Linked DNA regions of Saccharomyces cerevisiae S288C. The gene in region 2 interacts genetically with the main gene of each other region. Each region holds a gene or a part of one and is shown on either strand. Other genes may lie near its edges. The genes, in order: SNT2 and ECM5.

Region 1 (6,650 bases), on a different chromosome or scaffold from region 2:
GAAAACACGCAATGTTCTTAATAGAATACAAGAATTAGAAGATCAGAGAGATGAACTCTTGGAACAGAAAAAATCCATAATAAATTCGCAGAGGCCAGGCGCGAGGATTTTAGCCCGTTCAGAAAGGAAAAGAACCAAAATCTCCCGTGGTAATAAGGTGAATAAGCAGATTGAAATATTGACTGACTTAGTCAATTATAGACATTTTAAAGCTATGGAAGATGTGATAGCTTGGAAAAACGTTTTAGCAAATTCGATATGGGGTTCCTCACTTCGCAAAAATGCATCTGGTAATAAAAGGAGTGGTGTCATTGAAACAGTAGACGATAAATTAAAAGATATAGTGGGCCAAACCTCAAGAACAGTAACACCTGCCCCAAATTAATATATAAAAAACTTCCTTTGTAACTGATGGTAAATTGTAGTATTCATAAATAGGATAAGATTATTCATTGTAAGCATAATGGAAAAAAATAACACAACAAAGCCGCGCAAGATTGGACCATACTTTCTATCTAAGGTAACTATCACTTACTGGCTTGATGGATGCGTATTTTTGTCGGTACCAGCTTCTGAAATATCGATATCAAACATAGCTGGCTCAATTCCTTCCATCAATTGCTGGGTAATTTCGACTGGTAAACCGTTATCGTTAGAGATATTAGCAGATGCGCTATCAAAATCGAGTTCTTGGGCACCTGATCTCAAATTGCAAGAATGGCAAATAATATCTTCATACCAGTATAAACTTTTGTTTGTACCACAATGTGGGCAAGTCCTTTCGAAAGGAAGTACGTAAATTTTGGGTTTAATAGCAGAGTCGTGTGAGTTTCCTGGCATTTCGCCGTGTCGCAGTCTAAGCTGTTCAAAATATCTCAACTCCACTAGACTATGGTCAGATTCGCACTTATAATATCTGCAGTATTGTTCTATGTATGACAGAGTATGTTGAGGCTTGTACGATAATGGATAAAGTTCGTTTCCTTCTAAGCTGATATCGTGTCTATCGCATATTAGTATAGGTCTCAAAGTGTATGTATCGTTAAGCTTGACATCCTTTATGCACGGTAGAGTGGTGTCTACAGACATATTTTTCTTTTCAAACATAAGCTTAAAATTGGAGCTGTTCTGTGCACATGTAATATGATACCTATATTGGCATTTGTTACACTTCACTAACCCACCTCCATTTATCCTGCACACACCACATGTAAATCTACTATGTTTAATAAGCACAGCAGTGGTATTAAGGGCAGGTTGCATTGATTGTCCGTTTCCATATTTGATATCTTCATTGAAAAGTGAGCAAACCAAATGCACCCATGTCCCTAAGCTCGTGCATTTCAATGCGTCTGGACATATTTTAAATGATTGGCTCCTATATCTATCATAGTCATAGTCCTTCGTAGGACACATACTACATTGGTAGGTCGTTGATATTATAGGATTGAGGTCATTTGAACAAGGGTCACATAACCATTTAAATGTCTTAAGGTTAGTGTTTTTCTTCATATCTTTCGGCAGTTTAATAGCATAACAGAAGTAGTGTACTGTAAGTCCACAATTACCACATACTACCTCATAGTTGTCATTGTCGTTAAATTTTTCTTTGCAGACACTACAAAAAGTCCTTGCGCTATTATTTGCCCATGCTGTATCAGGATTTTTTGGTTTATTCTTAGTGTGTTTCAAAATCATGTCTTTCTCTAACATTTTGCTCGGTTTATTACCATCATGGTATTTTTCAAGGGCGACAGAAGTTTCCTTAGAATGTGAAATAACTGTATAATTGTACGATGCCCCGTTTGGTTCGTTTAACGGATTACTTAACGCTATGTCATTGATCATTTTGATCTTCTTCGTTGAAGGTTCATTATATTTTGGCAGCTTATTATTCACTAACTTTAAGCTATTCCGTAATCGCTGAAATGTTTTGTTATCAAATTTGACAAATTTAAAACCTTTATCTACAGACACTGAACCAGAAGAACTGCCGCCTGTTTTAATTGAAATTTCTATCAAATCATTCGAAGCATTAGTGATTTTAGGAATATTGTTATTACTAGCCTTCTCGATAAATACATCGTTGCACTTGCGATTTCGGCTTGTATCACTTGTTTTGATAGTACCAGGTGATTGTCGAATTATGTTCACGGGAAATTCGTCCTTTGTGTTTTTCGCTCTTTCTGGCTTTTGTTCAGGGATGGCTTTTCTTACCTCTTTGTTGTCCTCTATAAATAGCTCAAGATCTCGTTGCATCGTCTCCGGGTGAAACTCATTCTTTCGATATGATCTCACAGCCATTTTGTAGAGTTGCGTGTGGAATGTCATGGAATACCGCTTCATTTTCACAAATGAATTTGGGTTCTTGTAAACTTTCATTCTTTGCCTGATAATTAGCTCTGAATCCTGAACAAGTTCCCATTCTAGTAGTTTATTATGAGCTTGAAAGGGAGATAACGTAAACTTGTTTGTGTTATTCTCCTCTATAATCCCTTCTATCGCTGAATAAAAACTATTCTGACAGGTTCCCGTTATTTTTCTCAATGTTTCAAGCGGTGGTACCCACTTAATTGCGTATCTTCGCCACATACGAGCACAACGAATGCAAAGAGCGCCAAGTTTTTCATTCTTTTTGCTATGGGCAGGCGATTTCTCTGAAATTTCTGTTTTTTCGTTGACTCCTGTCTGCATTCTTATCTTGATCTTTTCATCATCTGAACCTCCAGTAACTCTATACCACATCGGGGAGTAATCTGTTTTACAAAACATGCATTGGAAGGAGGATTCTGCTAAAGAGAGTTTCTCAGTATCAAAAGAAGAATCATCTATATACTTTGTCTCTACGTCATTTTCATGATTAGCGATTTCTTTTTTTCTTTTATTCTTTGATAACTTACTCAATTTCCCTCTCACGGTAAGGCCTCTTTCAGTCTTTTTCCAATTGTAATAAAATCTAACAATCATCGACATAGGTTGAGTGCCCACATACTCACACACTGGGCGTAATTCACTCCCAAATTTCTCGACAGCTTCCTCAAACTTTCGGATCTCCACGGCGGTAAAACTTGGCTCTTTCAAAAATTTTCTGGAAAGCTCCCTTTTACATTTTTTAAATGCCTCTGCTGTATCATAATTTGTAAATAATAAATTCTTTAGGACTACATCAATGAAATTACAAGTCTCACCTCTCACATTGAGAATAGGGCATATTTCGCTTTTGCATTGTTCAATATATTCACTCAATTTTCGAGTAGTAATTTTTGATGCATCAAGTACCCATGCTAGTTCCGAAGTTTTCGTTGAGCCTCGCTCTTCTTCTGAATTTGCACTTATATACGAGTTCCGCCTCCAGGGCACATTATGATTACATCCGTTCCATTGATACTTCACTCCTACCCTAGAGGGTTTGAAAGGATATGGAAAAAACATAGAATCATTTAATGCGTCACCAATATGAGAAATGGAATATATTCCTAAGTATTGAAACCAGCAATTTTCGGTATTATAACCAACATTCTCTTTGATAGCTTTGCTAGAAATTTCTTCAATTTTTTGTCTTACAGAGCGAATAAAATCCAGTTCCAGTGCTTGTTCTTCTAGAAACCTAACATGCGAGTCCTTAGTACCTTGTTGTTTCTGTAAGCAACTGAAGCAGGTCCAAACGACGTCTTTGTTCGGCTTCCTGTCAAGTGGCGGATCCATACAGTATAGATGTGCACAAACGCCGCATTCATCACATGAAAGGCTCTCCTTTTGGATACACCATTCTTTACAGAACTGACATCTTTTATCCCATTGGTAGTCTGCAGGACTTAATTCGTTTACCTCTAGTTCATGGAAAACGTATTTCTTCAAAACGTTCTCCAATGGATACTTCGGTTCTGTATAGATATAACGAAATCTCCTATTCAAAACATAAAGAAATGGCGACTTACTGTTCCATTTATTTAATATTTTATCCGTGCTGTAAACTTTGTAATATTTCAAAGTATATCTGTCAAAAAGTTCATCAAAGTAAAAGATATTGGGTCGTATAATGCATTCCTTCTCATTAGGAAGAACATCAAAAACTTCGTCTTTATGAAATATACTACATTTTCCCCTGTATGATGAAATAGGACATATGTCCTGGTGTAATGATGCATACACCAACCTTGGGTTAAAAGTATTTACGTGCTCTTGAATATCCCTAGGACGATAAAACCAATTCATTCTAACTTGAAAAAATTTAGCAGGGAAGACCGATGTTGTCTTTATAGCTTCATGAATAGTGTTAGAAAATTCTGGTTTACTAACAAAATTTACAACTCTGCCAACATAATAAGGCTCGCCAGCAGGCTCTGATATCATATAAATAGTGTCGTTCGCAGATAAAAGGACAGATTCTGTATTGAAAAGAGACATCTTTTTCAAGTCAATCATGGCATCATCTAGATCAAGTATGTTAGAGAATCTGCTATTCTTTCTGAACGAAGGGGGTAATGTAGGGATAAAGTTCCAGCAAGTATTCTTATCATGAAGGAATTTTTGGTACTTGAATTTCTCGTTTCTACTAGCTGGATTGCTTGTCCTTTTACAATTCCTGGGAGTTTGGCTATTGCTACCCTTGGTCTTAGCACCACTTTTTTCCGCTATTTGTATTTGTTGAACTAATTTAGTATCTATTTCCATTTCATTATAATTCACGTTTTTAGCAGCCTCTCTTCTTCTAGGTAATTGGAAATCTTCTTCTTTAGGCATAGCGTGACCAGCTGAAAGGCAGATGATCTCAATATGTCCCGATAGGCCAATTTTGCCACCAGATAGTTCGATGGCATTTTATTTTTAGTCCTTTTGAAAGCAATATCATAAAATATATATAGTTCTCCATGATGTTCGGGTCAGTCGCTCCGAAGCGTAACCTAGTATAATAAATAGTTCATTGCAGAAAATAACGAAAGAAATGGTGGAATACGATCTGTTATATCTAAACTAAAGCTAACTAACGGAATAAGCAAATACGAATCGACCGCTAATTTAACAAATATGGTTTTAGCAATGGAAAGTAGAGTGGCACCGGAAATTCCTGGGCTCATTCAACCTGGGAATGTCACGCAAGACTTGAAGATGATGGTCTGTAAATTATTGAATTCCCCAAAACCTACGAAAACATTCCCTGGTTCCCAGCCTGTGTCCTTTCAGCATTCTGATGTGGAAGAGAAGCTGCTTGCGCATGATTACTACGTTTGTGAGAAAACAGATGGTCTGCGGGTGTTGATGTTTATAGTGATAAATCCTGTGACGGGTGAGCAAGGATGCTTTATGATTGATAGGGAAAATAACTATTATCTGGTTAATGGATTTAGGTTTCCCAGATTACCCCAAAAGAAGAAAGAAGAGCTGCTAGAGACTCTTCAAGATGGCACCTTATTAGATGGTGAACTTGTCATACAAACTAACCCAATGACAAAATTACAAGAGTTGCGTTATTTAATGTTCGATTGTCTTGCTATCAATGGTAGATGTCTCACACAATCACCAACAAGTTCTAGACTAGCCCACCTTGGAAAAGAATTTTTTAAACCATACTTCGATTTAAGAGCAGCGTACCCTAATCGTTGTACTACTTTTCCGTTCAAAATTTCCATGAAACATATGGATTTCAGTTACCAATTAGTAAAAGTTGCTAAAAGTTTAGATAAACTACCACATCTTTCTGATGGTCTGATATTTACTCCTGTGAAGGCACCTTACACTGCCGGCGGAAAAGATTCATTGTTATTAAAATGGAAGCCAGAACAAGAAAACACCGTGGACTTCAAATTGATTTTAGATATCCCAATGGTGGAGGATCCTTCTTTGCCTAAAGATGATCGGAACAGGTGGTATTACAATTATGACGTTAAGCCAGTTTTCAGCTTATATGTCTGGCAAGGCGGAGCTGATGTCAATTCACGTTTAAAACATTTCGACCAGCCTTTCGATAGGAAGGAATTTGAAATATTAGAAAGAACATACAGAAAATTTGCAGAGTTGAGCGTTTCAGATGAGGAATGGCAAAATTTGAAGAACCTAGAACAGCCATTAAATGGTAGAATAGTAGAGTGCGCAAAAAACCAAGAGACTGGGGCGTGGGAAATGTTAAGATTCAGGGATGATAAGTTAAATGGTAATCATACATCGGTGGTCCAGAAAGTTTTGGAGAGTATCAACGATTCAGTTTCATTGGAGGACCTCGAGGAAATTGTTGGTGATATTAAAAGGTGCTGGGACGAGAGAAGAGCAAATATGGCTGGTGGTAGTGGGAGACCACTACCGTCTCAAAGTCAAAATGCGACATTATCTACCTCTAAGCCAGTCCATTCACAGCCCCCAAGTAATGATAAGGAGCCAAAATATGTAGACGAGGATGATTGGTCGGATTAGGCTAAGAAGTGTTCGTATCGACATATATCGGTGTAAGAATTTTGTGTATGAATAAGATAGAAAAGCAAAAGCAATTGCTTTTGCTAAATTAATTCAGTTAGTTATCTATTTATATGTACATGAGAAATGGGAGAATTTTGAGAAGCGAGGGTGAAAGTGTTATATACGCATATACATGTATATATATGCGCATGCTTATCACCTATGGGAAAGGACTAAACTTTTCAATAATTCTCTTGGGT
Region 2 (6,708 bases):
TATAAATCAATAAATTTAAACTCTCAGTTATTTAGCGTAAATGAACAAAACCACAAAAAAGAGCTCTAAGTCGAAGTTGCCAAAAGTCTTAGGGTTCCTATAGATGGTCAATTACTTGAAGTTGTCATGGAAATGAGCTTTTTTTATTTTTTTCATACCTCTCGAGAAAAATTGCCTTGGCGCGTTCCTCCTACGAAGGAAAGCAGAAGAACAATTGTTACGTAAGGAAAGCTATCAAGAAACGGTAAACACTTACTAATAAACATCAATATTGACAGCAAAACGCGCTTTTCCACCTTCGAAAGGAGCTCTCCTAGATTCTGGGGTGTCTTTTTTTACCGGGATTATGCTGGATGGGAAACACCCAATACTGGAGTGTCAACAATAGGTAACTACTGCCAACCATAGAAAACGTCGTAGAACATCTGAGTATGAGTAAACGAGGTATGCGCAATAAAAGAAGAGAGAATATGTCATGCAGACTTCGCAGGTACATTTTAGATAAGTAAATAGTGATTTTAATCAATAAGATAGTATTACGTTTCAATTTGGAATTCCTGTGATTATGATTCTTCCATTATCTGTGAGCCATTTAATTGCTTCTGCATCTTTCACCTGACAATGTTTCCTTAAGGGATCCGTCAGATTAGTAAAGCCGCATTGTGACCCTTTTAACTTTCTCAAGTAATACTTGATCTTGTGCGTAGAGGACAATTGATTTACATAACCGTTAGTAAATAGTTCTTTTTCCATTTCATTTTTGAAGTTCAAAGCAAACGCAAAAACGTCAAAGAGATTCTTCAAGATAGGGGGATCTGGAATTAAACTTAGCTTCAAAGATTCTACTAAGATCCTCTTCAAGTCGTCAAGCTCAAAAGTCACACCTTCGATATTGTCAACGGCCATACAGGGTGGTGTACATATCGAGCAAACAAATAAAACGTTTGGATCATCAGGTGGAACCAACTCACCGTTGCTAATACAATCCACATGATACCACTCCTTGCATATTTCACATTCGACCATTGCAGTACCTTCTTCAACCCTTCTACAAAAGCAATATTTCGTTTGGCGCTTAGAACAACTTTCCAAAGGAATGTATTTGTCTGACTTCAAATCTAAACATCTAAAAATCGACGGCAGTATCTCAATAAATTTATTTTTTTGCATTATTTGATCCAAGTGCTGGTTCCATAATTTGAAAACTTTTAACTCCTGTTTGGCTTTCACTGATCCTGAATTATCACTGGCCAGCGGTCTCTTATCTAATCTCGAACCATTAAACTGGTTCGCAAACTTCACAAATTTAGGATCATTTTTCCTGATGAGTTCGTCTATTTTATCAATATTATCAGTGTTATAAAGAATATTCACATCGTTCATTTTTTTTGCATTTTCAATTTCTCTAATAACATAATCAAGCTCACTGAAAAAACTACTTTGTATGGGTAACCGATATTCTTCTATATCTAATAAAACGTCTTCTAAATCACTTAGCGATATTTTTGAGGGTGGATCCTTTTTTAGAAAAACTCGAACTTTCTGCATCATGTCCTGATATTTTAAAATCAGCTTTCTCACTTCCCCTAACTTATCTATATCTTCCGAATCACAATATTTCAAACCAAATTCGAAGTAAGAATATAACAGTGGAAGTGAATATTTCGCAGGGTCTTCATTCTTAATATCACATCGCTCAATGAATATATGTTCATAAACGGATAACCATTCAAGCCTACATATTTTTCTGGTCAACTTAGTCCAATAAGAAACCTTCAACGGGATGGTTAACGATTTCTGATATAATTCCTTAAGCAAATCTAGATTATTGCCATCAATAATATCTCTATTATCGATAGGAAACTGCCGAGATACGTGATACAGTCTGATAATTGTCGGCTTTTCTGAAAATTCAATTGAGCACTTCCGCACACTTTCATACAAGCTCTCCAAATTATCAGCCATGTTGTCAGAAAACTTAAGCGGTAGATGACGTAAATTGAAACCGTTTCCGAAATCTACATCTTTAACAGAACAGGAAACATCCACGAAGGTCTTAATAAACTTTTTACATTTCTCAATAAGTAGTAATGAATCATCAAAATTGGAGCGTAACATTCGATTAAACTCAGTATTACTATCAGTATGAGAGATCAAATACTGTATTATATTTAATGGCACAGTTCTATTTCTAAAAGTAGAAGTCATTAACACGTCCCACTTTTTTTCAAAATCTTCATTGTGAACAAGCAGATAAGAAGTCGGAGGCTTGTCCAAGCCATCGAGAGCAATTCCTAGGCTTGCGCTATCAAAGTATGAGTGCAAACAAACATTGAGATTACCAGATTGATCACGTATTGGGATGCCACATATACTATGAGCACCGTTTTCTGGTTTTTCTAGCAATACCACGAATTCCTTCAGAGATAAATTACGTTGCAATGCACCGTGTGTAACAACGATTTTTGAAAGACCAGTTGACTCTAAACTAATATCTGAAATATAATTCAATTTATTATAAACGACATCTACAGTGCCAATCAACTCCCCTAATTTTTTGCTGTTTTCCGCTTCCTCAACGACGTAGTTACTTATTAAATCACGGCATTTTTTCCTTAAAACTGGGTTATTGGAGTTTAGTAGGGCATTGATAAGTAATTGATTTACATCTAAACCGGGAAGAAACCCCATCTTAGATGTCCATTTTGCTGCCTCGGAACTGAATCTCAACCAGGAGCTTGGCGCAAATTTTGCATTCTGTGATAGATAGAAACCTGATCCAATAGAACATGTGAAGGCTTTCGGAAACTTAAAAATGTATGAGCCCTGCTCCTGTGTCGTCTTATAAAGTTTTATGCCATTGGCTAAGATGAAATTAGGCTCAAATATGAAGTCGCTTTGTGAACCATCATGTAGAGTGTTTCCTGCTATCTTATCTTCTGGAAATGAATTTTTTGAATTATCTCCAGTGTTTGAATAGTCAGCAGATTGTTCTGCATCCAAAAATGACTTGTAGAAATCTGTTTCTATAAAGCTCTTTAATTCGTCATCGGAGGTGGAGTAGCGCGGCCTTGATTGGATAGTATCCCATTCACTTTTTCCTCGAGCAATTAAAGCTTCGAATTTTTCCATATCTTTCGGCGCAATACTGTACACCAACTTGGTAGAACCTAAATGATTGAAATCAATTGAAGGTAAAAAATGATCCGAAACAGACCAACCTTGACAAGAAAACAACATTCCAATATCATAAGTGGTTCTCGTAAAATTGGCCATATCCAGATCAAGGTGTTGTAAAAGCGATAGTTCATTGAGAGGAATGTTGTCTAAATTCCACTGGTCTAGAATATTCTTAATGGCAAACTTTTCATTGGACGAGTTGTTTCCTGGTGATCTCATGGAACAGGGTAGTCCAAGACCGGTGTCAATTTCGAAATCTATAAAGTGCTCCGATAGCAAATGAAAGTATAACCTCTCGAATTCCTTTTGAGGTAATGTTGTGTGTTTCGCAAACAAATCAGGATAGCTACTCCCAAATTTCGCTACAATAGCAGTGAAAACAGCCAGACTTTTTTCGTAATACTGTCTCAAATTGTATACTGGAGAGGTTTTGGTTTCGTATTTGCTTTTATCGTATATTTCCATACCATTCTCCCAAAAAGTAAAATCATAGCCCGGTAATGTGGTCTCTGTTGACTGTGTATAGCCTAGTTTAAACTCAGTTAACGAGTTAAAATAAGTCGGAAACCCTTTTATGTGCTTTATGTCCCGCATTCTTTTAAATTCATGATTAATCGATCCGGCTCTAAAGACATCGCGGTGTATTTTAGCTTTTTTATGAAGTGGCTCCTCTTCGTCCCTACTTCTGCTATTTGAGTGACGAAATATTTCAGATTCCACCATGTCTTCATTTTTTTCGTTATTACGAGCAGCTTGCTCTTCTTCTTCATATATGTCAAAGTCTAATAAAATTTTTGCATAGGCAGATCTTAAAGAAGTTGATAACGAACTCATAATCCTGCCCGAGTAACCTAATTCTCTTCCAATTTGCGCCCATAATTTTTTTTCGCAAACAGCATTGAAGCCTCCCCTCAACTTCACACAACTCCTCAGTCTATATAAATCCAAGGTGCGTTTATCGATACTTGGGATCCTTGTGAGAGTACTCTTTTTGATTTTATTGTGAAAATTATACAACTTCGCATAAAAATCAACTATCTTGGTTCTTTGAAATTCATTCGAATTGAAAAATTGTTTTCTTGCTTTAAACCAGAGGCGATCTACATCAACATTTAGTTGAGTAAATTTGTCAGCATCTGGTATAATTTTCAACTTAACACATCCATAAACTGACCCTAAGTCTTCCACTAACTCATAAAATTTTATGGGGTCCGGGAGTTCTTTTTTGGCTAAAATAAATGTTGGAATAGAGTGTGGAGATATTTGATAAAATAAACCCGTCTTTTCATGAAACACTCTTGCGGGTACACCCTCCGGTAGCTCAACTAAATCTACAGATTTTATTGTTTCAGGTGCAAACGGTGCTGCACCACGAGATTTAAATTGCGTATAGAGAAATGGGCTAAAATTATGATTTGAAGTAGGAATTACAGCACTCCGCGGCGATTCCCATTGTTTAATCGAAGGTCGCTCCTGTATCTCTAATTCGATGTCTGCAATTTTAGAGCTTTCATGGAACCCGTTTTGTACCATTACCTTTTCGTTAACCGGTTCATTCAGGATATGAGATATTTTTGTAACAGAATCATGCCCACTCATTATAACTATGGAGATGGACGTACGAACAAGAACATACACGATAATCTAGAATTTGGAACAAAAAGCGAAGTTATTCAATATTATTTTCCTCCGAAGCGCTACACCTCCAGCGCCCTTGAGCTTAAAACAACCTTTATCTTCCACGCTGATGTAAAGTGTAGTTCTTATTTTAAGTGATGATGTTCACGAACTATGCTCGGCCACCGTTCACACATGCCGAAGATTTGAGTGTCACATCAACAGGCTTTCGGACGACTGAATACCAACAGCATCAAGCTGATTTGGCATCATTGTATGCATCATACAAACGTAATAAAGCACGGATGGAAGTCTTAGATATGACTTATATATATTCGTAGAAGAAAATTCGCTAAAATAAGCACTTATTGATTTTGAGTATAAAGAACATAAACATAAACAATTCATAAATAAACCATTAAAAAAATAAAAGGACTTGGTTAATTGCGCCCAAAAAAACGTAACATTATTTTTTCATGTTTTCGTAAGTCTTCCAATCGTTCGCAATTCCTCTGCCAGCGTTCATCTTTGTTCCAGATTGATCATGGCCCATCTTCATTCCCCCTTCGGACTGATCATGACCCATACCCATGTCCATGTTCATATCATCCCTTTCCTTGTTGGAGGATTTGGCGTTCTTTCCCTTCTGATGGGAATCATCGTTACCTTGTAATTTTTCAGCGAACTTATTCATCATGTTAGACATCTTGACTATACTTTTTTATATACCTTTCTACTAAAGTAAAGAGCACAGATACAAAGATTAAAAATGCCTAGGGACAAAACTTTGGGGCAGAATTGGGAGCTTTATATATGTTTGTGATGTTGATTCTGAGGGATGATAATTGCCCTCTCAGTCCCATCATTCTTTACACCTCGTACTGTATTCATGATCATCTATCCATTTTACATACCGCTCCCTTTAAGATACGTTTATTCGTAACTCCCATTTACCAATCACTATGAGCCGTCCACGTTTCCAAAAAAACCTAAACATATGATGCAAACCTCCAATGAGACTCAACGTAACATGCAAGTAAATACAGAAGGTTAAGAGATAGTTGTCTTAAAGGGGTACCGAAAGCATTTAGGGGAGGCTTAAGGGAGGGTGCCGATCCTATGAAGTATTAATACGTAATGCCAAAAGGAATTGTTGAACATCTGAAGTGGATAGATTAATCGTACAGTAATCGTACAGTACTATGTCTTACTGATGTCGGGAATCTCAGGGGCGACCGCCCCCGGCTAGAATTATCTATATAACGGTAAAAAGAATAAAACTCTATTCTAGTTCTCGCCATTTACCTTGACTTTAATGAACCAATAAAAGAAATTTCTACAACCAAGACATCCAGAATGAATACAGACCAACAAAAAGTGAGCGAAATATTTCAGAGCTCAAAGGAAAAATTGCAGGGCGATGCAAAGGTAGTGAGTGACGCTTTTAAGAAAATGGCTAGTCAAGACAAGGACGGCAAGACTACCGATGCTGATGAAAGTGAAAAACACAACTATCAAGAGCAATACAACAAGCTCAAAGGGGCGGGGCATAAGAAGGAGTAGCTCTGTTGTCCTACTATCGATTATTTGTGCCAGCGGGCTCTGTTAGGTTGAGGGTGGAAAGTGTAGAAAAAGCAGACCTATTTGCCAGCGGATACATAGCCACAGCTCATACATAAAATTTTCATACTTAAGTCTAAACACAATAATATATTTTTTTTATCGAAGACATCCAAAAACTTAGTAATCGTCGTCACCACCGTATTGATTACGACCGCCTCTATTAGATGAACCATAAGAGTCATCATTGTTGGATGAACCGTAGTTGGAAGACCCATAGGAGTTCTTGTTTCTATTAGAGGAACCGTAAGAGTCGTCATTGTTGGAACCGTAAGAGTCATTGTTGTTGCT

Evidence for each region.
Region 1: of ECM5 (region 2) and SNT2, a mutation in one rescues a mutant of the other (synthetic rescue), as found in Saccharomyces cerevisiae (one study listed by BioGRID).

What each region holds. Positions count from the first base shown.
Region 1 is NC_001139.9:261,117-267,766, forward strand, and holds SNT2 (DNA-binding E3 ubiquitin-protein ligase SNT2), read right to left. Parts: upstream 4,744-6,650; coding exon 532-4,743; downstream 1-531. Other genes in the region: ITC1 (Itc1p), read left to right, coding at 1-385; CEG1 (mRNA guanylyltransferase), read left to right, coding at 5,029-6,408; mitochondrial 37S ribosomal protein mS29 RSM23, read right to left, coding at 6,607-6,650. UniProt on the Saccharomyces cerevisiae protein: Transcriptional regulator that, together with ECM5, recruits histone deacetylase RPD3 to a small number of promoters of stress-response genes in response to oxidative stress.
Region 2 is NC_001145.3:609,811-616,518, reverse strand, and holds ECM5 (Ecm5p), read right to left. Parts: upstream 4,780-6,708; coding exon 544-4,779; downstream 1-543. Other genes in the region: YMR175W-A (uncharacterized protein), read right to left, coding at 5,011-5,205; SIP18 (Sip18p), read right to left, coding at 5,264-5,503; PAI3 (Pai3p), read left to right, coding at 6,154-6,360; DDR48 (DNA damage-responsive protein 48), read right to left, coding at 6,538-6,708. UniProt on the Saccharomyces cerevisiae protein: May be involved in cell wall organization and biogenesis.